Notamacropus eugenii: one gene and its partner. The protein of the gene in region 2 purifies or fractionates together with the protein of the main gene of each other region. This does not show direct contact. Links are inferred from orthologs where the notes say so. Each region holds a gene or a part of one and is shown on either strand. Other genes may lie near its edges. The genes, in order: ILF2 and HNRNPR.

Region 1 (11,540 bases), on a different chromosome or scaffold from region 2:
CAGAAGCCCATCATAGAAGGAGGCTGCAATGGTGTTCACCTGTTGAGGAAGGGTGATGGTGAGGGATCATCCTATCTCAGAAGGCTAGGGGAGAACACTGGATAAGAACATAGTGGGGTGGTGGTGGAAAGTAGAGATCAGCAGGGACCAGGAACAGGCAGGAGACACTACCAGGGCAATAGAGGAGGAGATACCTAGATAGGTAATGGAGGGATGAGGAGCACCAGGAAGAACTGGGAGAATAGATATGGTGGCTTTGGAGTAAAAGACCAGGGAAAGTGACATGGTGGGGGAGAGGGGAGGAATGTGGAGAGTGGGCACAATGTGTAGGGGAAACAGGGCTATAATACAAATCAAATATTAAGCACTCACTGTGGGAAAGGTACTGGGCAATTCTAGACAGTTGGTATACAAAGAGATAAAAAGAAAGTCTGCTTTCAAAGAGCCTACTTGCATTCTACAGAGCACAGTGAGTAGAGCAAAAACATAGAGAAGATGAAGCAAAAGGCATTAGGATGGAAGCATGGAGCTCCTGTGGGTGGAAAGGTTGTAATGGGAAGGGCAGTGGGTATGGTGTGTGTGTGAGTTGGTCACACTAGGGCAGGGCTATGTGAGGCTGAACATGGCCTTGGGAGCCAGAATGGGGCTTCCTTACCAGCCCATCCTCCACTGTGAAGTTAAATTTCTTCTGGGCTAAATCTTTGAGCTGCTGCAGAAATTCCAGATACTCAGGATTATCAGGCTCCTTATATGTGATGATTTTAGCAGCCTGGCCATGGGGCAGGAGGAGAGGGAAAGAAGGCATTATTAGGGATACAGCTGAAAGGGCAATACTACAGGGCTCCTCATTCCCAGGGATATTGTGTTCACGCCCTTGGGTTTCTCTGTTTCTCTTTGATCAGTCTAAAGTCCTAAGTTCAGAAGCAAAGGAATAGACAGATAATTGTCCAAACTCCTGCTCACCCCAAGGCACCTCTGAACTCCAGACTTACCTCATTCCTCTAATTTGTCATTCATTTGACTCTCAAGCCCCAACTGTAGTCATCAACCCATCTCCTCTAGCAGCCATCCTCTGACTCCCTGATAACCTGTCCCAACCTCATCCCCATTCTGGAAGTATGTCAAGGACCAGAGAAGCAAAAAGAAGGATAAGCCTCCAGCATAGCATCATACAATGATAGGTAGGTTCTAACCAGGACTTTGGGGTACCCACCTGGAAGGCCTTTCGGGCAATGGCATCATACCTATCCCCCTGCTGCCATGGCCTTCCAGAGATAGGGCTACGCCCATCCTGCAGGCTCTTTCCGAAGACATCAAGGTAAAAGAAAATATAGTCTCCCTCGGTCATCCCTGCTTCCTGGGCCAGAAGCATCAGGTCTCTGAATGTGTTGGGAGAACTGCAGATATAGATGACTGTGGAAGAGGACAAGAAGGAGTCAGATGAGCAGGAGATAAGAATTTAATGGAAAAGTTTGGGGCTGAAGGAGGGGAGAGATGGGGTTAATAAGGGCCAAGAAAGAGATTCCTTTATTTTAGAGACCTGTCCTCCAGCCCCGAGGTGAGCAGTACCTCCAGGTTCAGCTTGGGCTATGGCAGGGGAAGGAGGACTGAAGAAAGACTGAGATGAAGACAATAGGAACTCTTTGACCTCCCCACTACTAAAGTAACAAAAGAAAAGGTGGGAAGGAGAAAGTGGAAATTGGAAAAGGAAAGAGAAAATTGAACCCAAGGGGAGAAGGGGGAGATAACCAGAAAGGACAGAGGGTCCAGGGAGTATAGGAAGAGAGGAAGGCTGGGTGAAAAAAAGAAAGAAAAGGGAAATGAGGAAAAGAGGGAGAGGGAGACCATAGGTGTGAGATGGACAAACTCAAGGAAGGAAGTAGAAAAGAAGACAGAAGAAATAATTCACACAGAGGACAGGAAAGATGGGGAAATGGGAAAGCAGGGGAAGAATGAGGAGTGGAAAATGGGAGGAAGTAGGGAAGAAAGAGCCGGAGAAACAGGAGCAGAACAGAAAAAGCAAAGTAAGAAAGCGGGGTGAGGAGGGCGAAGAAGGGACAGGAGAAGGGCAGGAGCCAGTGGCGGCACACTCTGGTTGGGAGACGAAGGCCCGTCTGGGTCTGGAGCTTGAGGGATCCTGAGGGTGTAGGAGTGGTGAGGTACCGGTCAAAGCCGGCCTCCCTTTCCCGAAGGGGCTCCTCCCATGGGGTCTCAGAGTACCCCCTTACTTCTGCCCTTTTGTTGCACGTCGCGCAGAAGTGCGCTATAGAGCTCCAGGTCACCCTCGGCAAACTGCAGGTAGTCCACGGTAATGTTGAGTCGAGCCCGGAGCCGAACGTACAGCCCTTCGATGGCAAAGAAGCAGGGCCGGTCGTCCCCGACTGGGGGACGGTCGTTGTAGAGCAGGAGTGTGCGGCGCTCCCAGCCCAGCTGCTGGTGCAGCGTGGCCACGAAGTCCCCGATCTTGACATGGCTCGGACCGGTGCGGGTGGTCAGGGCGTACTCATCCTTGGAGCCGAAGCCCAGCGCGGACGCCCCGGCGGTCAGCATTGGCACGTTCCAGTGCGCGGTAAAGCGGCCCACAGGCGCGGCGGAATACACGCACCCTGGTCCCAGAAACGCAGCCGGGTGGTATTCCACTTTGAGGTCCACCGCAACCAAGGGTGCCCAGCTGTCGGAGCACACCCCTTGGGGGTTCTCGCTGCTGCCCAGCTGGTACACCGCGGTCCAGCCCGGCAGCAGGTCCGACCGTTCGTTCATCCTCTTCAATGCCATCTCCACGGCCGGTCCCACGCGTGACCACGACCACGGGTACGTGGTGTTGGTCACTGGTAGGACCACGGCCACTGTCAGGTTCTTCGCCTGGCACCCCCGGAGGACGAACTGGACGAGGAAGGGGAGGAGGACGCCCGAGGGGCACTTTGGGGCGCGCATTGCCTCAGCTGGAGAGAACAGGGCAGAGAGAGCGCCCAACCACGTCCCCTCCCCTCTCCACGCTACCTCTTCCCTCTCAGTGAAGCATCGAGTCCATCTCCGGGGAGCGGGGAAGGGAGACTCCTGGGCCCCGGGTGTCCCCTCAGTCTGGGTGAGAGACAAGAGGAATTCGAAGGGGTGAGAATGAGCAGAAGGGGCAGACAGTGCTAGCGTGCCAGGGAATGAGCGTGTCTCAGAGGGAGGTTGCAGGAGGGCAGGTGGGTGAGAGGGAGAGTGGAAGAGTGCGTGCGTGCGTGCGTGTGTGTGTGTGTGTGTGTGTGTGTCTATGCTAGTGAGAGAAGTGGGAGAGATAAGAAAGGAGGGGAAAAGGGAAGGAGGAGGGGTGTGAGTGTGCGCGCTCTTGTCTGTGATCTAAGGGTGCCACTGAGGGCAGAGGGGTTGTCCAGCCAAACTCTCCGTCTGCCTTAGGGGGACTGGGAAGGACCTGGAGCCCTCCCTTCTTCCCTCTCCGACTCAATGGCAAAAGAACCAATTCCTGATCTTTAACTCCTTCCTCTCCGGAATCTGGCTGCCTCTATCTTCCTACCTCCCCGCCTTCTTCGAAGTCCCTCTAACCACTCCTACTTCTGTCTCCCCTTCCTCCCTTGGGGATCTGGTACGGGTGAGAAAGCCTTTCTAGAGGACGGGAAGTTTGTTGAGGAGGTGTTTGTTGTGTGCATGTGCCTGTGTGCTCTAACAGCTGTGTCCTCTTCCTCCTTCCCTTCCTCTTATCTTTCCCCTTCCACCTTGTAACATCTGGTGAGAGAAGCATTTGCTTACTTGAGAATCTGCTAGAATAAAATTGGAGGCGGGGGGTGGGCTAGATTTATGGGAATGATGAGTTGGAGTATGGGAAAAGGGAAAGAGGGTGAGAATTGAGCTGGGAATCAGGAGTCCAGGCTCTCCATCTGTACGCGATTTCCCCTCCAGGACTGAGCCACGGAGATGCATCACATAATTTTAGATTGTAGAGCAGCAAGGGGCCTCAGAAGCCGTCAATTCCAACAGTTGAGGAAACTGAGCCCCAGAGACGTGAAAAGACTTGCCCAAGGAACAAAGTGAGAATTTTTAGGTCGCTCGGGTTCCTAGGCTGGAGGAGAGAGATGAAGACATAGCACCCAGGACTGATGGGCACAGATCCCGCAATGTGGGAGCTTTGGTGAAGACTATTCCACGAGGGGGTCTTTGGAGGTTTCCTCCCTTCTCCGGCTGATGAAGCAAAGCTTTGGATCCTATCCCAACTCCTAGAAGATATGGCCCGAGGGCTAGCGACCGCCCGTCGGGGTTTGGGAGCCTTTGGTGGAAGAGCGAGAAGGAGGCAGGGTGGGGTGTGGGGTGTGCGACGTGACTCAGGGACTGGAGGGAGCTCAGCCTGGACTACTCGATGCAGTCCCGACAACTGTGGAGTCATTCTGCCACCCAGTGGTCAGTAGTCATCTCTGATGTTGCCGGTTCCAGCCTGGCAGGTCATCAAGAACAAATTTCCCCCGAGGTGCCCCAGGCCAGCTTCCGTTAATCATCATCATCATCATCATCATCATCATCATCATCATCATCATCATCATCATCGTCATCGTCATCATCATCACCATCACCACCACATCAACCACAACAGTAGCAGTTCTATAACCCTTTAAAGGTTTGCAAAGAACTTCACAAATATTAGTTCATATTATCTCATTTGAGCCTTATAACCACCCTGAGAGGTGAATGCTATTATTATATCCATTTTACAGATGTGGGAACTGAGATGAAAAGAAGTGAAGGTCAGATTAATTATTAATTACCCGAGGCTAATAATGAGACAATTTCTCATTCCTTTCTTTCCCCCCCTCCACTCCCCAGTTTCCCATCTCCAGCAGCTTGCCGGGCACTTCCATCTGGATGTCCCATAGACATTTCAAAGTTGATCTATTCAAATCAGAACTCGTTTTCTTTCCCCTAAACCCTCTTTTCCTTATAACTTCCCTTTTTCTGTTAAGGGCATCACCCAGGTTCACAATCTTGACTCTCCACTTTCTCTTGCGTAATCAGTTTTGTAGATTTCATTAGCGTGTCTTTTGCCTGTCTCCTTCCGTCCACTCACATGGTTAGCTCCCTCATTTCCTCTCATCGGAACTATTTCAAGAGCTTCTTAACTGGTGTCTCTGCATGCAGGCAACCTCCCTCCTCCACAATCCGTCCTCCACACAGCTGCCAAATGGTTATTAGCCAAACCCAGTTGTGAAGAAACTTCAATGGCTCCCGTTACCTCTGAGATAAAACACCAACTTTTCTGCTTGTCGTTTAAGGCCTCTTACAAGCTGACTCCAACCCAGCTGGCCGGGCTTCTGAAGCTTTACTTTCCCTGTTGTCGCCCCCTCCCATCCAACAGCGTTATTTATTTGCTTTATAAATGTCACCTCAAGCTCTCTCCCTTTAAGGTTCAGTTAAGAGCTGCCTCGTCCAAGAAGCCATTCCTGAATGCCCCAGTTGTTATTCCTCCACTATTATTACTTTGCATTTGTTAAAGAATATTTGTATTTACTTATTTGTAAGTAAATTAAGTCTCTTACTAAATTAAGTCAAGTAAGTCTCCCCTCAATCCCCTCCCCCCCAAGTCTCCCACCTCGTAGAGTATAAGTTGTTGAGGTCAGGGACGGCTTCATTTTTGTTTTCATATCATATCCTCAACTAGTGCAGTGCTTGGCACGCAGTAGGTGCTTAATAAATGCTAGTTAAAATGAATTCTTTGCTCAGCCTATTCGACACCTTCGTTTATTCCTGTTGCTTCAGTTTCCCTTCGAATCTTCCATTTCTTCACAATTTGCCTTGAGATTCCACTTTTTTTCTGTTTAAATCCTGAAACTTCTGGGACTCAGTCTTCCCCCTTTTTTATCTCTGGTTTTCATTTTCCTCTGCTTCTAATTCTCATACTCACGCGTATTAAATTCGGGCAAACAACGTATGTTACAATTTATGTTTGAAATTATCCCTTTTCTTCTAGCAAAGTAGCGCTGGTTGAATAAGGTGAATGGAAAAATTTGTGGTTGGAATCGAAAAGTGTTGTTAGCAGAGGATGGTTTCGATCCATCGACCTCTGGGTTATGGGCCCAGCACGCTTCCGCTGCGCCACTCTGCTAGCTATCGCCAGCCTTGGCTAAATCCTATATAAAGAATGTAGAACTTGTCTGGCGTGTGCGTCAATACTACGTGAGCCTTTCCGCAGCGCCTCCTGTCGAACGTTCTACATACAAGTAGCTCCAGTCGCTGCTTTTCGTTAGGTCGCTTCTCATTGGCTGTTTTCCAGTACCGCAGGCTCTCCCAATGGCTGATAATTCTGTTCGACCGAGGAGACCAATGGGTGTGGATGACGGCATGACGCAGCAGCCAATAGTGACTGGTCTTATTGGAACGTGCCGGCAAGCGGCCTCTCCGGTTGTTGGCTTCTCAGAGGAAGGGGCGGTTGGCGGGGCCTCCATTGTTCAAGACTGTGGGAACCATGAGGTGAGGTGCCGCGGGGCTCCAGGGGAGACCTGGAGCGGGGGATGAGGACCAAGGCCGGAGGCAGTGAGGCCAGAGCACCAGGCAGCTGGAGGGACCGGGTGTCCAGGAGTTGGCTGAATCCCAAGATCCCTTAGGCCGAGTGGGGGAGGGATGACTCCAGTATTTTGTGGGAGGGGGTGGAGAAATCCAGGGGAGCTCCTACCTCATCTCGGGGGACAGGGAAGGCAGAGAGCCTGGAGTCCTTGCCTCCGGTGACACTTCTTACCTGGAAGCCTGTCCTGAGTTCTTCGCGTTCATTCTGTCTGTCTCTTCAAGTTACCTTGTACGGCAGTAATAGAAATTGAGATCTCATTTAAGCTAAATGTAAAAGAGTTGGGAATAAACCTACCATAACGCAGAATACTTACGTACAGATTCAGTTACAGCCTGCTCAGAGACAGAAAGCACAACTCAGATAGCTGGAGGGACATTCAGTGCTCATGGATGGGCCCTGCCAATGTAACAAAAATACGACCAAAGTGAATTTACAGATTTAATTCTGTACCAGTCAAGCTATCTGTGCCCCCATTCACTGTGAAGCGAATGTAAGTTCCTTGAGGGCCAGAGATGCCTCCATCCTCAGCACCTAGACCCGGAGCAGGGAAATTCTTGCACCCACGATTTCCTTTCTGTGGTAGGGAATTCCCAATAAGGCATTTCCCCTGCTAATGCAGGATGCCACCTATTAGTTTTAGAGTTGCCTAGGGCAGTGAAGAAGGTGAGTTCCATAGGCTACTGGGTTACCCAACCAGTATGTATCTCAGGCAGGACTTGGATCCAGGTCATTCTACCATCTTTATTTACTTAGGCTAGGTACCTCTGCATTAATAAATGTTTTTTGAGCAGTGTAATGCAGAATTATTACATATACCACCAGATGCTGGGGTTGTGTTGATCAAGTTTGTATAACTTTTCTCTTTTAATTTTCTCTTAATGCTGTCCGGGATAGGGGAAGCAGGAGGGATGTATTCAGTAATAAGCATGATGTAAAAACAAAAGATATCAATAAAAAAGATTTTTGAAAATAAATTCTTGTGGAGTTGAATGTTTGAGAGGTTGGGTAAGCAGTTCCCATTGAATTAAGTTGAATCGTAACAGGGGGAAAAAGAAACTGGGTGGGAAAAGGTTTGGATCAACCTATGGTGAGGATGTTATTGGTTTCTTCACTCTGTGTAACAACTGCTTGTCTTATTTATAGGGGTGATAGAGGCCGTGGTCGTGGAGGGCGCTTTGGCTCCAGGGGAGGACCAGGAGGAGGGTTAGTACCACCTTTGAGTGCCAGATGGGGTGTATGTCTTCCACCACCTGATTATTTTTTTAGTCCAAGGCCTCTTGCAATAGAGGATTTGGAGTGGGTAAATATTGCTTGCTTTTTATGAGGCCGTATTCTGGCTGAGACAGCTCTTCCCATGTGCTCTTTCTTGACATCTCATGTTTATCCCCTTTTCTGTACTCATTCAGATTGCCTCTATCCAGGTCCTTACCACATCTTCCCCAGATGATTTTAATAGCCTCATAATTGGTATCCCCACTTCTGGTCTCTTTACTTTGTCATCTGCAGCTTCCATATTGATATTCCTAATTTACAGATCTGACCATGTGACTCCCCTATCCAAAAATCTTTAATATCTCCATGTGCCGCTAGGATAAAATGCAAATTCTGCTTTGGTATTTAAAGCCCTCCACAATCTGGTTGTCTCTAGGCTTTCCTATCTTATTTCATAATACTCCTTTTTACTCTCTCCCTTTTCTACTCCAGTTAGCCTGCTAGCCATTCACTATATATAACACTTCATTTCCTGCCTCTGTGCCTTTGCACAGGTGGTTTCCTATGTCTGGAATGTTCTCTCTTTTTACCTCTACTTCTTAGAATCCCTAACTTCTTTCAGAGTTAAATTCAAGGGCTACTTTTTTGGGTCTTTCCTGATCCCTGTTTCTTCCTCTCTCTAGTTGTTAATATCTTCTCCCTTCTTTATATAATTTTTGATTTTACTTGAGTACATGTTGTCATTCTTTTCCCCAACTCCCCTTCTCTGGTGAGACTATAAGATATATGAAGGTGGGGATGGTTTAGCAAGTACCTACTATGGTATCTTGCACATGTGCTTAATATTTGCTGAATTGTTCCTTCAGTGAGTTGATTTTTGCTTCCATTCCCGCCATGCGGAGAGAGATAACCTCAGATGACTTTGCCACCAGTTTAGAGCAGTAGTTGTTTACAAAGGTCTCTGATAACTACAGAGATGTTAGCTCATTAACTACATTTGTATGATAATACATATCCTGGAAACTTCAAACTAATGTAGGTGGGTGGGTGTGAAGCTAGTATAAATTTTTAATATCTCCTACTAAGTCTTCACACAATGTTACCAATGCTCTGAGCATTTAATGTTTAATCTTATCACAATAAGGTTGTGTAGGTGGACAGTGCTAGATGCCACATAGAAATTAAGAATCTTAAGTTCTGTATTCCTAACACTTGCTCTTTATTTTTTAACAATCTGCAGAATTTGGTATTTATTCAAGTGTGGATATGATAACATGTCATGATAAAGGAATAGACTTAACTTTTACTGAGTAGCAAAAATGAATCTTTTTCTTATTTAAACCTTACTGATGCCTTCTTTACTTTACATATGCTTTCTTTTTGTAGTTGTATCAGAAAGTCTAGTCCTCCTGGTTAGGGGAAATGACTTTCTTTTCTTTCTTTTTTTTTTAAGGTTCAGGCCATTCGTGCCACACATTCCATTTGATTTCTATGTGGTGAGTTTGGTACTTTGATTGAACTTGGGTCTTCCACTTTTGCTATTATAATTGTAGGGGCAGGGCCATGGTCCTCTGATGTATAGTCACAAATTCATTTGAATAAATATGGTTTTTTGGGAAGGGTTTTGAGGTCCACTTTTATTTCTTTTCACACAGAAAGAGGCTATGCAGGGTGAGAAGATGTAACTTTGGTTGTTATTGGCAGAAATTCATGATACTGTCACTTTTGTTTTTGACTTTCTGGATACCTTAAGTTTTCTTTTCCTTGATAAGATGTCATGATATTTTGGAAGAGACAGTTGTTGACTTTGTATAAAATATTACTATAGAATTTTACTGCCTTTATGGCTTTTGTATGTCTGGTAGAATATAACTCCTCAGGATTTTTGTCGCGTATAGTTTGTATCTCTGTAGCAATTATTGTGATTCTTATTATCATTTCAACTCCTTTCTGGTTCAGTGTGAAATGGCATTTCCCCGAGTCAAACCTGCACCTGATGAAACCACTTTCAGTGAGGCATTGCTAAAGAGGAATCAGGACCTTGCTCCCAACTCTGCTGAACAGGTTTGTTCTATGGATATTCTCGATGTTTTCCCCTGATAGTTTACGATGAATAGCTGAAGATGGTGTTGGGAGTAGTTGCAGAGACTTACACTTGGTTGTTCCTCAACTTTCTCATTTTGGGTGGAAGAAGGTATTGAGAAGAAGTGAATTTGATTTTCCTGAAGCATAGGTCCAACTATATCTCTTCCCTACTCAGTAGTAACTCTGTTGCCTCTAGAATCAAATATAAGTTCTGTTTAGCCTTTAAAATACTTCAGAATGTGGCCCCAACCCATCTTATTTACCTTAATTGTACATTACTCTTTTTACACTCTATAGTCCAGCCAAACTGAAATTGCTATACCTTCTATAACAATTGAATCTTGATCCAGACCCCAAAGTAACAAGTTTTTATTAAGTCTTGATACCTGGTATTGTCACTCATAATGTTTAGTTCAGTTGTTCAGGTGCTGTTGACACCCTTTTGGTGATTTTTTTTAACCTTGGGCTTTTATATTTCATGTTAATTTTCAGGCATCCATCCTTTCTCTGGTAACAAAAATCAACAATGTGATTGACAACCTGATTGTGGCTCCAGGAACCTTTGAGGTGGTAAGTTTTTGTTGACTGAGTCTCAGGAGGAAGATAGCCTTACATCTGTAATAGTTTCCTTGGGCCTCTTTTCACTTTATAGCTAGTTTTTATATAGGGTTTTACATATGTTACTTCATTTGATCACAGCAATAATAGGTGATATTATTCCCTCTTTACAGATAAGGAAATTAAGGCCAAGATAGCTTAAAGTGATTTGCCCAGGTTCACATAGCTAGTAAATGTCTGAGGTAGGATTTAAGTCAGGTTTTCCTGATTTCAAGTCCTACACAATTCATTTATACCACCTAACTGCCTCTAAGGAAAATACAGTGGAATTTCTTTAATGTTCTTGGTGTTGATTACCATAGTTTTTATTTGTAATGTGGATGTGTTTTTTGCTTTTAAGATAGCATATCTTAATCTTGCTAATAGTAGGTTATGTAATACGTATAACATAATACTATGTAAAAAAAAAAAAAGACTGAAATTAGAACTTTTTTTCTCTCTATACTTTTGTGATTTCAACAGCTTTTTTCTGTTGATGTTAACTCCTCTCCCCTTTTCAACAGCAAATTGAAGAGGTCCGGCAAGTAGGATCTTACAAGAAAGGGACGATGACCACAGGGCATAATGTGGCTGATCTGGTAGTGATCCTGAAAATCCTGCCAACATGTGGGTGACAAGCTTTCTTGGTCCTGGGAGCCAGCTCGGGCTGGGTTTGAGGCATTGGGGGTTTAAGGTCCAAATTGCCAGGAGAGATAATTTGAGGAAAGAGAGAGACCTGGGGAGGTGGAGGGGGAAAAAGGAAGTTGTGATTAATTTGGAGATAGATTTAGGGTATCAGAAATGTTGTAAAGTTACTAACTGAAAAAAAAGAGCTTGGACGTAAAAATGATAATGGAATTTGGGAAATGTAATTGTGTATGGATGGGGGATGAAGGCTGGAATGTTTTGAGCTGTGAATTTATTGCTTTTCTTTTCAGGACTAGAATTTTCTGCAATGTTAGATAATTCTTGCAATATTACAAAGATAAATCCTTGTTTTCTAGGCATGGTACATAAGTAGAGTGCTAGGTGATCTGTAGAAATAACAGGTAGTGGTATTAGAGGGGTATTTATTTTCTACTTTCTTTTGTCT
Region 2 (11,540 bases):
AGTTCTCAATGAGGAAGCAAATTGTTTAGGACAGATAACACAGACCTGTCTACTGCAAAGACAAAACAATTTGTTTTTAAAATATTACTGCCTAGAACACAATTACAGGATTTAGAGCTAGAAGTAACCTTAGAGACAATCTAGTCCAAACCCTTTCTTTCGTGGGGCAGAACACTGAGGCCCAGAAGTTTAGTGACTTGTCCAAGGTCACAGAGACAACAGCAGAAACCATACTTCAAGCCTTGGTTTTGAATCTAAATTCTATTCCCTTTCTAATACACCATATTTTAACCTAATAGTCCTATGAGGAAGGAAAAGGGATGGTGTTATTCCATTTCCCAATGATAAAACTGAGGCAGAGATTAAGTCCTAAGACTTAAAAAAAATAAAAGCTGCTAAAAGAAACTAGAACCCAACCTTCCTAACTCCAAATCCAATGCTGTTCCTACCTCACTACCAAAATTCAACCTCCATAAATAAAGTACAATGTAAGACATTTCCAGACTTCTTTAAAGTTCTATCATTCCAGCAAAGTGGCTGGCCTCTGTTTTCTGCTCACAATTTTAAGGCAAATGGCCAATCAAGAAAACTGGGTTAACATAAAAGGTCCATTCACCAATTAGCCCTAACCTTGCGTTTCATCTTTCAGGGCCTCTTTTTAATCATAAAGGCATATGGAAAGTCAAAAGGAAGAAGAGTGACTGGAGAACTTCAAGACAAATGGAAAAAATCCAAAGAAACAGAAACACAAACTCTTTGAGAAAGGCCCTACACAAATTCAAGTATATAATGTTGACAAGTCTGACATTTGCACAGTGCTCTCCAGTTTCTGACCACGTACACAGAATCTCATTTGAGCTCCACAACCACCAGGAGGCAAACACAGCAGGCCTGACAGTGGGAATACAGCACAAGGAACAGAATGCTGAACTTGAACTCAAGAGAAGACTGAGTTAGTCTGAGCCCATCTCAGACATTTCTTAACTTCATGACCCTGCACTCTTTCTTTGTCAAATGTGGATAATAATACCTGCACTATTTATCTCACAGGGCTATATGTAAAGGTGTTTGGCTATGTAAATATCAGATTATGGTTTATTAATACTACCATCCTTCACAATTGGCAGATGGGGACACTGAGGCTTAGAGTTTAAGTCTAGGGATTTATGTAGTGCCCTTTCCAGCATGCTATGCTAAAACAAACATAATATATTATCTCATCTGTTTCTCACAACCACCCTGTGAAGTAGGTACCACAGTCAACACCTAAATTTTGAATATGAGCTAACTGAAGCCTGGAGACGCCAGAGACCGCAAGAGTCTAAAACAGAATTTGTCTCTTCCTGACTCCAAATCTAGGGTCCTTGCCACTCTACCACAATACCTCTAAACAATGGGGAGAGGGAGAAAGAACAGCTCAACAGAAACCCTTACCTTTTATGAAAAATCTGCTTAATATTTGAAATATTTGCTAGGGGTATAAAAACACCATTCTGGAAAACAACATTAATTAATCTCATTAATTCTACAAACTCCAGTTTGCTTTACCTTAATCTTTGCTTCATCAGGTCCCTTTGTGGATTCTTGTACCTTGCTCCCTTGTTTCTCCCTTTGCCTGTAGGTCTTCATAACTCCACATAAAAATGCACTTTTGTTCTACAAAATAAAAACCATTTGGAGTTGCCAACAAATTTGTTGTATCAACAAATGAATAAATGATTCCATATCTCCAGATATTTAAACATTAGGGAGAACCAAATAGGCCTTTCATGACTTTTAGTTTATCATCTGCTGTTCTGAATACTTTCCCCCATGGTAATGCAGCAGTCTAGCCCAAATATTATGGACAGTCTGCTCCCTGTATCCCTGGTAACATCTCCTGAGGACATCAGTCATATAAAATGAATGGCTGACAAGCTTCTGTTTTCAATGTGGCTTTTGAGACTCAACTTTTAGCAGTACACCAACTTCAGGTTTACAAAAGCACCTTAGAGTCCAGCATACCAGGCCAGGCATCATGGAACTCAACCAGCAAACTCTACTTTAGTTCACTCACTCAGCCCCTCTTCTGACTCTTGATCTTACCTGTACATGAGACAGGTCACTTTCCTTAAACTGTTGGAGCACTGAGAGGGCGCCTTCTTCATTAAATTCTCTGAGAGCATCAATTGCTCTTTCATCAAGATCGACATAAGCTACCAACCCTAAAAATTCAAATTGAAAAATGGTAATGTTACTGTTCAAAAAGCTAGAGGGGACACAAATTGATGAACCTGTCTTATTAACTTTTAATTATGAAGTCATATTCAATTTTATCACTAATAAATTATCTTATTCTTAACTACACGCAACTATACAAACACTGTATGAAAGAACATGAAAATGTAAATACTTAAAAATAAAATACTTTTACTATGAAACTGAAATTGCTTCCCACGTTCCCCCCCAATCCCACCTCTGCCAAAAAACACATAAATACAAACCCTACCCTCCCCCCTCCAAAAATAAACACTGGAGTTTCAAAAGCCCTGGAAGGAGTTAAATCTGCTGTGCACATTGTGCAACAGACTGAGGCTTCAAGTGATCAATTCTGGTCCACATTTCTAAGTAATACATGAACGTTACTATCTTCCCCAAGGATCTATCTCCTCCAAACTATGGACTTGGGGAGTTTTGCAATCTTCATTCAAGTATAAAGAGTCACCCAAGCAACTGGGGGGAGAAAGTCACCTATTACTAAGCAACTCTAGCCCCAAAGAGTAGCAAAAGCTTTCTCCTTCTTAGGGACAGAGAGACTGAAAATTGTTTGAGTGTACAGACACACTTTGCTGCAATCAAATGTGGAAAGATATAATATCACTCTTCTGTAAGCCTTATAAAATTAACATTTGTAGGTATAGCATGGGAAAAAGTAAAGAAGGCCATTTTTTAGCAGCTTCTTAAGTTTCTTCGTGATGTGTTGAGATTTAAGGGATGCTGTGGCAATCAGAACGCTAAATATCAACAATGACATTTTTCAAATGAACTAAAATTAATTTTATGGCCATAGACTTACTAGAAAATGTATTTAAAAAAAAATTCTTCCCAGTACTCTAAACATGAACTGTTAAACAGTATATAGAGCATCTACTAAGGAATAAAATACAGCTCTTTTAATTTAATCTGAATTTATTATAACAACTGTTATGCATGAGCCTGTGAAGTAAACTGTTAGGAAATGGAAACAGCACTTTTTTTTAAAGTGACTCCACATTAGCAAAGCCCACCAAACAAAATTTCATTTTAGACTGAAATAAAAAATTTAATAAATGTAATGCCACTTGCAGTTACTGATGTAAGAAAATTAAATGCACTGTCATAATTTAAAATGTCCCCAAATGAGCATGTCTAAATAAGTCTGCAGTTCCTTACATGAAAAATGCCACAGCACCACCCAAACACCACAGTCCCAGAGGCCCATCAGACCTTTCCCTCTGGTCCAACAATGCCTATGCCCAAAGCATGAGCTTCCTTACTAACCAAGTATCCTTCCTTACTAAGCATCCTTACTAACCAAGACTCTTCCAAGAGGGTAACTTTAAGCAGATCACTGCCTGTTTCCAATGGCAGAAATGCACAAAAAGCTTCCTAGGAGTGATTTCCAAATGGATACCTTACCCAGGAGACATTTAAGGAAACTATTTTTAATGTCTAACATTTATCTCCTTTTTTTCTTAAAAAAAAAAAGGACAGAAAGTTATTTTACGACTTACAGTACTTAAGAAACATTTATAATACAATTCAATTCTTTCTCAGAAGCTGACTGCAGATCACCAAAAGCTCAAAAAGGAAGGTTTCCGTCCATTTAAGTCGTCAAAGGGGGAGGATATATTTATTTATGAACAAGATTCCCTAAGGGTAAACATATCTCCCAGTTTAAAACCTGAAACCACTTACAACCAAAACCTTATTTAAGATATTCAGATTTTCTAAGCACTTAACCCTGGGATAAAAAACAGCCAACTATTGCAAACCAAACACTTCCATGAGATGCTGAGAGATGTGGATTACTGTCCAATGAAAACTAGACAGGCCACAAAACTCACATAATATGACATTTATTATAGTTTCAGGCAATAATGCATCCTAACTATTCCTCACTATGCCACCTAGTTCAGAGCTAAACTGATTTAAGAGTCACATTAAGAAGCTAAAAGTAGAAAAGTAAAAGCAAAATGATGACTGATTTGGATTGAGAAAAAAATGTAAAATTTAGTATGCTGGAATACATTTTTCTTGTGATAAATCTAAGACAAATTGATGTACTGGTCTGAAGCAACTAAGACTGCATATTCAACACTAAGAAGGCTTCAAAATCATGAAATAAGAGTCAGTGTCAAAGTCAAACCCAATTTGCCTTCAGTGACAGAAAGTCACACATTCAGCTCTACAGGACAGATCAGAAACAGTAGTATTATTTAACCTTAAAAAGCTATACAATTCAAAGTGGTTTGCCCTCACTTTCATAACCGGTCAGAAACAAGAAATGCATATTATACCTGTCTGAAATATTTCATCAAGTCTCTCTGCCACCTTCTGTGGGAGGCCTGCCTCTATCAGTGTCTTGTAGTGCTCTGTGTGAGTTACACTGGAAGTGTCCATTGGTTCTTCCTCTTCTTTTAACTGTACCGCATTACCATTCACCTGATTAGCCATTTTATTATGCTGCTGGAAAAAATTCAGGAGCTATATTACATTAAGCCAGAAATAACTAGTTTGCAGGACAAAGAATGACTTATCTAAACTAACTTGTATACATGCTGCTAATACTCTATCAAAATCATATTTAATGCCTGTGAGGTAGCTGACCTAAATTTGCAATAAAATCATCCAGGAAAACAATGGAAATGTACATGGAAGCAGTAAGGTTTTAAGGTACTTCATGTACACCATGGTGGTCATAGGTCTCAAACTTTCTGATCAGAGGGAAAGTATCTGATTAGCAAAGCAGCTGTTACGTCCCAGTGATCATGTCATCAAAAAGAAACACTTTCTTTGATGAACAAGTCACCACTATAAATGTCTAAAAAGCTCTGCAGCTCCCATTCTTACATAAACTCAATTACATCTTGTTTTTAAACAGACCAAACACTCAAGGTTTGAGAATTTTCAAAAATCCCTGGCTCTCTGCCATGCCATGCTTCCATTCCAATGCAGGTGTGACAGAAGTGTAACCCTGTTGAGCATGCTGGTGGTATCTGGGGGTGGTTTTCCATCCTGCACTCACTAAGATCACATTGAGATCACTAACAAAATTAATTTTGTTCTTCCCATGTACAAATTTATGAGAAAAAAAATTTAATCCATACTTAAAATGAGCTACTTTTGGAGGTTACTTTTTAAAAAAAGGAAACCCAAGTACAATATATTGAATTTTCCATATCAATCAATTTGGTAAGGCTGCAAAAATACATATTCAAGCTAACTTCTTTCCAAGAGTTCCAATCAATGGTGCCTAATTAAGGTTGAACTTAGGTCAGATTTCTCAGTAAACCAGCCAGCAATCATTCTGTATATCCCACCACTCACGTACTACTGAAATGGACCAACTACCTGGGGAAGAGAGTTTAAATGGAGAGCTCTACAAGACCCGCATGGATGAAAAGGTACCTGCCTCACAAAAGCAGTTAAGAGTTAAAGGTGCATTTGTCTGTGGTGAAATGACAACTTGATGAAGATAATATGCAGCAGAAGAAAGACATTGCAACATATACTGAAATAAAGGATACGAAGGTGGATATCAAGAATAAGCCTGGTTTTTGAAGAAAACTCAAGATACCTCGGCTATCAAGAAAATACAAGTCTCCCAAAAAGTGCTTGCTTAGCCACACTACTAGAGATCCTACCAGACATTATGGGAAAGCACCAGGAGCAATTGTCCCACTTGAAACAACTTAATTTCTTTCAAAGACCACTGAAATCCAGTTGAAGATAATGTGAGAAGATAGAACAGACCAGAGGTGGAGTTGGGGAGAAAAAGGGAGAAAGGAGGAAATAAGGACATTAAGCATAGAAGGATTACTCTGAAAGAGCTAAAGCTATCTTATGGTCAAAGAACATCATTAAAGATCTGATTGTCTGGTGATAGGTACAGGCTGTGTACAGGCAGACGCATCCTTTGCTGTGGAACTCTTTTTATTTACGTGGGTACATGCTTTTCAATGCAGGCCTCAAAACACTATCTGATGAACTAGCTAAAAGCTAACACACTCAAGACTACTGTTTAGCACGAAAAATGGGCAGATGCACCTTTTTAAATCAAACCGTCCTCCTACACACGGCTGCATCTCCTCAATGGTCATCCCTCTCCCACCCCACCCCCAAATACAGCTAGGAATTCTTCAAAACTCCAAAGTTAAACACAACATCACGAGACCTTCGCAGCAAAGCAACATTTTGCAGTCACAGAATGGAAGCAAACTCTTAACAGATGTGAACATTTCTGTTAAGAAATATCATCATCAAAGTATGGGTAAAGCATAAGACAGGTTGCCTATTAAGCACAAGATGGAAAAAAAAAGTCATGAATACTATTAGTACCAGATGTACTCAGCATGCCTCCAATAAGCAGATACTGAAGGGGGAGGGGCGCAGGGGGAGGGGAGGAAAGGAAAGAAAGGGGAGGGAGCGTCTTTACTGTGAAAAAAGTGGACTCCAACTTTACCAGAAATGCAGCTTTACAGAAACAGGTCTCGGGGAATCCACCAGAAAAGCCTCCCTCTCCTCCGAGCCCCAGGCTCCAGAGCTAATCCTATTAGGCTAATTGACAAACTACCGCCCAGCCGGAGCAAACTTCCGGCCATAGTAAACACGATCAAGTGAGAGGGTTTTTTGGGGGGAGTGTTTCTTCTGGGGCGGGGCACGAAGGCCATTTAAACTGGGGGGATAAATGTGCTACCCCCCCCCCATTTTGCCGGGTTGTTTTTAACGTTCACGTGAACGACCCAGCGCTTCAGCCTGCAGGCCGGCAGGGGGAGAGGCCTGACCTGGGCACCACGTGGGGGGGTACTTACTCTCACTCCCCGGACCACCACCACCACCTCTCAGCCCGCTGGGGAAGGATGGAAGGCGGGAGGGAGGGCGCCAGCCTCACGTGGGGGGAGGGGGCACGTTAGGGGGGGCCTCCCTTTCCCCCGAGGCGCAGGCGGCGAGGCCCGACCCGGCCTCCGGCCCCCCCCCCCCACCTCCCGGCACGCATGGCGGGGCCTTTCTCGGAGGCGGGAAAGGCGCGGCCCGCGGGCCCGAGCGGAGCACGCTGCGGGGGCGGCGGTGCCAGGCCGGCCGGCCTAGGCCCGAAGCCGCGCGGGCCCAGAGGCGCCCCCCCTCCTCCCTTCGCCTCCTTCCTTCTCCTCCCCCCTCCCCCGCTCGCACCGGCCCGCCCGGCGGCCCCCTCCAGAGCGGGGACGTGGCGCGGGGTCCGGGCCCGGCCGAATCGGGGCGGCCGGCCCCTCCCCCCACGGGCGGGCGCGAGACTCACCAGGGCAAAGCGGGCGCCGGCGATGGGGGCCCGTGAGAACGAGCGCGAGGCTCTTTGAAAACGACTAGAAATGGCGCGCGCGCCACCCCCTCTCTGTCTCCCCCCGCCTTTTCCCCCCCCCAGGGCCGCCGCCTCCGCCGCCTCCTCCGCCTCCTCCTCCTCATGGAACGGGCGGCGAGATCCCGGCAGCACGCGGGGTTTCCCGGAACTGCTTCCAGGGACTCGGCTCGCCGACACAACCAATCAGCACTAGGGGAGGCCCGAGCAGCGGTTGCGGCGACCTATAGAAACCGAATTCTGAGCTGGGGGCAACGAGCCGGGACGAACAGAGAGCCAATCAACGGAGGCCTCCGCGTAGCCAATGGGAGAGCTCAGCGGCGCCGGACTAGGAGCCGGGGGCGGAGGGAGGCACACAAAGGGTGCGCTGAGGCCGGCCAGAGCTGGGCTCTCTGGTGCGTGCGGAGCACGTCCTGTTGAGGGCCTCGGGTGTCCGGCCGGTCGCTCTTGGCGGAAGTGAGTGCCGTGGACTCCCTGAAACTTGTCTCGCCCGGTCAGAACGGGACCGACTCCCCTGACCTCCCCCATCCCCTTTTGGTCCGACCTGAGGCCTGGCTGGCCCGGAGGCCGGACTTGCCAGGCCCTCGGACCGCGCGCTTGCTTTAAATTCTTGACCGCTTCAGCCAACGTTGGCGGAGAGGGACCTGGTGCGTGATGTAAGGCCCACTACTGGCCTCGGGTCTGTGGTTGCCAGTGAGAACCCTGGAGCCCTCGATCATCGGGCTATTTCCGTCTACGCTGATGAAGGGAGCCGTGTGCCTGGCCAAGAGCTGGAGATGCAGAGAGGGCAGGAGTGGGCCCGGCCCCACACCTGCAGATGCACATTAAGCGCCTACTATGTGCCAGCCTACTACGTGCTAAGCACTGAGAGTCCCTGCTCTCAAGGAGCTCCCACTCTTCGTTGGGGAGACAGCGTGTGAAAAACTACAAACAAGCTCTAGTCTAGTAAAATGGAGAAAATCAACGAAGGGAAGGCACTGGCATTGAAGAGGACCGGGTCCAGAGAGCAGTGTAGGCATTGGCTTGTTAAGGACTATTAATTCTGGGCGTTGGGATCAAGAGTGAAAACTGACAGCCCTCTACCCTCGAGGACCCTGCAGTCTACTTTGAGGATACAATATACCCAAGGGTACAAGAGTCAACCTTTATTAATGGTGATGTGCCAGATCTTGCCAGCTAGGCACTGGTGAAAAACTCACCTAGTCCTTGACTTGGAGCAAAAAATATGATGTGCACAGAATTAAATACCTGTTGAAGGAACAATTAAATTCCCTGCTCTGAAGCTGAGCATTATGAAAAGTCAAAGATGAAAACTGATACAATCTGTTATGCCTTCAAGGACTTTACTGAAAATATGCAAATAAGTATTCATTCAAAAAATGTAGTGATCACAATGTAAAGAGCCCTAGGAAAGGATGGAGAGATGCCAAGTTTAGATAGGACAGTCTCTGCCCTCCTAGTGTTCAGTAAGGTAGGTGAGGGTAAAACTCCAACAAAAAATAGCTATGAAGTAGAATAGGGAGTCCATTGAGAGGTAGCAGGGTTAGTTGAGTAGAGAGAGCTGGTTTTCTAGTGGAGAAGATTTGGATTCAAGTCCTTTTGACACCTACTAGCTGTGTAATGCTAGGGAAGCCAATTCATTTAGTGGCCCCAGGAAGTACTCTAAAATGAAATGACAAGTTGCAGATCTGCATTGGTGGAATTCTCTATACCTGTGAAATGCCAGGTTTCAGCCAAAAAGAAAAAAAAAGCGGTTAAAGATGTATAAACATAGTTATGTCAAGTCTGAGGGGTTAGGATATTATCAAGAAAAAGTAAGGAGGAATAAGGGAATCCTTCATATGATCAAAGGTAGACTACAAGGGCAGGTAGGTGGCAAAGTGGATAGATGCTGGGCCTGGAGTCAGGAAGACTCATCTCTCTTAGTTCAAATCTTCCCCTAGACACTTAGCTGTGTGACCCTGAACAAGTCACTTAACCTTGTTTGCATCCATTTCCTCATCTGTAAAATGAGCTCGAGGAGTAACTGGCAAACTATTCCAAGATCTTTGCCAAGGAGACCATGATGGGGGGGTATAGGAAAATTTAAAATGACCACTTTCAAAACCAGAATTAGATTTTGTTTCTCACATCTGTCCATTTATTCTCATAATTACCATCCCTCAGAGTGATTGAAATGCTTAAACTACCTTCTTTGGTCTTATAGTGATAGCTCAATGTAAATGTATGTAAATTTTCTTTATTATCTGCGGGTGTATTTGATGGCTACATAGAGTCCATGAACTTTATTATAAAGTAGATGGGATAGGTGCAAAATACCATAGATAGATAAGAGTTTTGATTAAAGAAAATCTTGTGCAATTCTTTCCATCTTGAGTACACAAAGAAGACAAACTCCCATTTACCCTAAATCTATTTTTTTCATGTCTTGGTGGCATGTAAGGATGTAAAGTTGAAATCAATGCTTTTTCACAGCCTTATATATGGGCATTTAATAAACACTTGTTCAATAACTGAATGCTATTACTTGCCAAAATCTGTTTCAGCACGGAGCCAAACATAAAAAGGTGATTAAGTCTCTGACCTCAAGGATCTTAGAATCTAGTGGTGTCTGATGAATCCTGACCTGATTTCTCTCTTCCATTTGTAATTCAATACATGTAGGTGAAAGGTGATCTTGATCAAGCTAGTCTTCATTTCCAAAGGCATTTCAGGATCAAGTTACCATGAGAACACAACCAAGTTTGTCTTTAAGTGTTTCTTAGGTATCTACTGCATATTTAGCACTATGCTGAATAGATTCATTCATTCAACAAGTAATTATTGTCTCCCTACCCTGTGTAGAGTCCTGTGCTAGGTCTTCAGGTATACATGTTAGTTACAAGAGAGTACTTTTTCTGGGTTTCTTCTTTGCCCTAGTCACATCTTACTTTAATAATAATAATACCTAGCATTTGTATAGTACCTACTATGTGCCAAGTACTGTGCTAAGTGCTTTACAAATAGTATCTCATTTGATCCTTACAACAGGTAGGTGCTATTTTTATCCCTATTTTATACTTGAGAAAACTGAGGCAAACCAAGGTTAAGTGACTTTCCCAAGGTCACACAGCTAGTATCTGAGGCAAGACTTGAACTCAGGTCTTGGTGACCAAGTGCAGTGCTCTCTCCACTTTGCCACAGCTTTGTAGGAGAGGCATCTTGGCATAGTGGGTAGAGTGCTGAACTTGGGGTCAAGAAAATTGGGTTCATTTTCCATCTCTGACACTAACCATGTCAAGTCATTTAATTCTTTAAAATTAATTCAGTGGGACAAGTCATTTAAGTTATCTTATTTGTAACATGAGAATAATAACAGCATCCACCTCACAGCAGAGTTTTGAGGCTCAAATGAGATAATGTATGTAAAATGACATACCAATGAGAGCTATTATCATATTTGTTCTACATATGCATTAGATTATGAGCTATGCCCTAGCACCTGGCACAGTGCCTGTGCACGACATGGGATCTTAGTAAAAGGTTTTTGTTGAATTTAATATCAAATATAAATAAAATACAATCTCATCCCCCAAGGGACTGATACTTGAGTATGGTTGATAAGACAATATACAAAAAAATATAAATGGATGAAAAATGGGTTTATTAAGGAGAAAGCTACATCACTATAAGTTAAGTCAAGAAACTTGTATTTTGCAAGAGGGATACATGTACAAAAGTAAGTCTAATACAAAATAAACTGAGGCAAGAGAGAGAACACTAACTACTGGGGGAACCAGAAAATGCTTCACAGAGACATCAAGGGCACCTACTGCCAACTGAGTCTGGCAGGAAGGTAAGAATCCTGAGATAGAAATTCCAGGTGTGGGGAAGGCCTTTGTGAATGTAGAGACCAGAGACAGGAATGTAGAGTTAAGGCATCATTGAATTATCCAATTATCAAAAATATAGAGTTCATGAAAGGGAA

The links.
Region 1: the proteins of HNRNPR (region 2) and ILF2 purify together in Homo sapiens (affinity purification with mass spectrometry; 3 studies listed by BioGRID and IntAct, counting the BioPlex papers as one, with this or other methods). This does not show direct contact. The link is inferred for Notamacropus eugenii from reciprocal best matches to the Homo sapiens genes HNRNPR and ILF2.

Annotation. Positions count from the first base shown.
Region 1 is NC_092873.1:377,646,570-377,658,109, reverse strand, and holds the start of ILF2 (interleukin enhancer-binding factor 2), read left to right. Parts: upstream 1-6,351; 5' UTR 6,352-6,454; coding exon 6,455-6,459; intron 6,460-7,696; coding exon 7,697-7,756; intron 7,757-9,218; coding exon 9,219-9,261; intron 9,262-9,724; coding exon 9,725-9,829; intron 9,830-10,342; coding exon 10,343-10,420; intron 10,421-10,971; coding exon 10,972-11,074; intron 11,075-11,540. Other genes in the region: NPR1 (atrial natriuretic peptide receptor 1), read right to left, coding at 1-39, 656-769, 1,214-1,413, 2,229-2,934. UniProt on the Homo sapiens protein: Chromatin-interacting protein that forms a stable heterodimer with interleukin enhancer-binding factor 3/ILF3 and plays a role in several biological processes including transcription, innate immunity or cell growth.
Region 2 is NC_092876.1:63,735,830-63,747,369, forward strand, and holds the start of HNRNPR (heterogeneous nuclear ribonucleoprotein R), read right to left. Parts: upstream 7,752-11,540; 5' UTR 7,517-7,751; intron 7,105-7,516; exon of another isoform or gene 7,053-7,104; intron 4,708-7,052; exon of another isoform or gene 4,705-4,707; 5' UTR 4,696-4,704; coding exon 4,539-4,695; intron 2,205-4,538; coding exon 2,086-2,204; intron 1,657-2,085; coding exon 1,549-1,656; intron 1-1,548. UniProt on the Homo sapiens protein: Component of ribonucleosomes, which are complexes of at least 20 other different heterogeneous nuclear ribonucleoproteins (hnRNP). hnRNP play an important role in processing of precursor mRNA in the nucleus.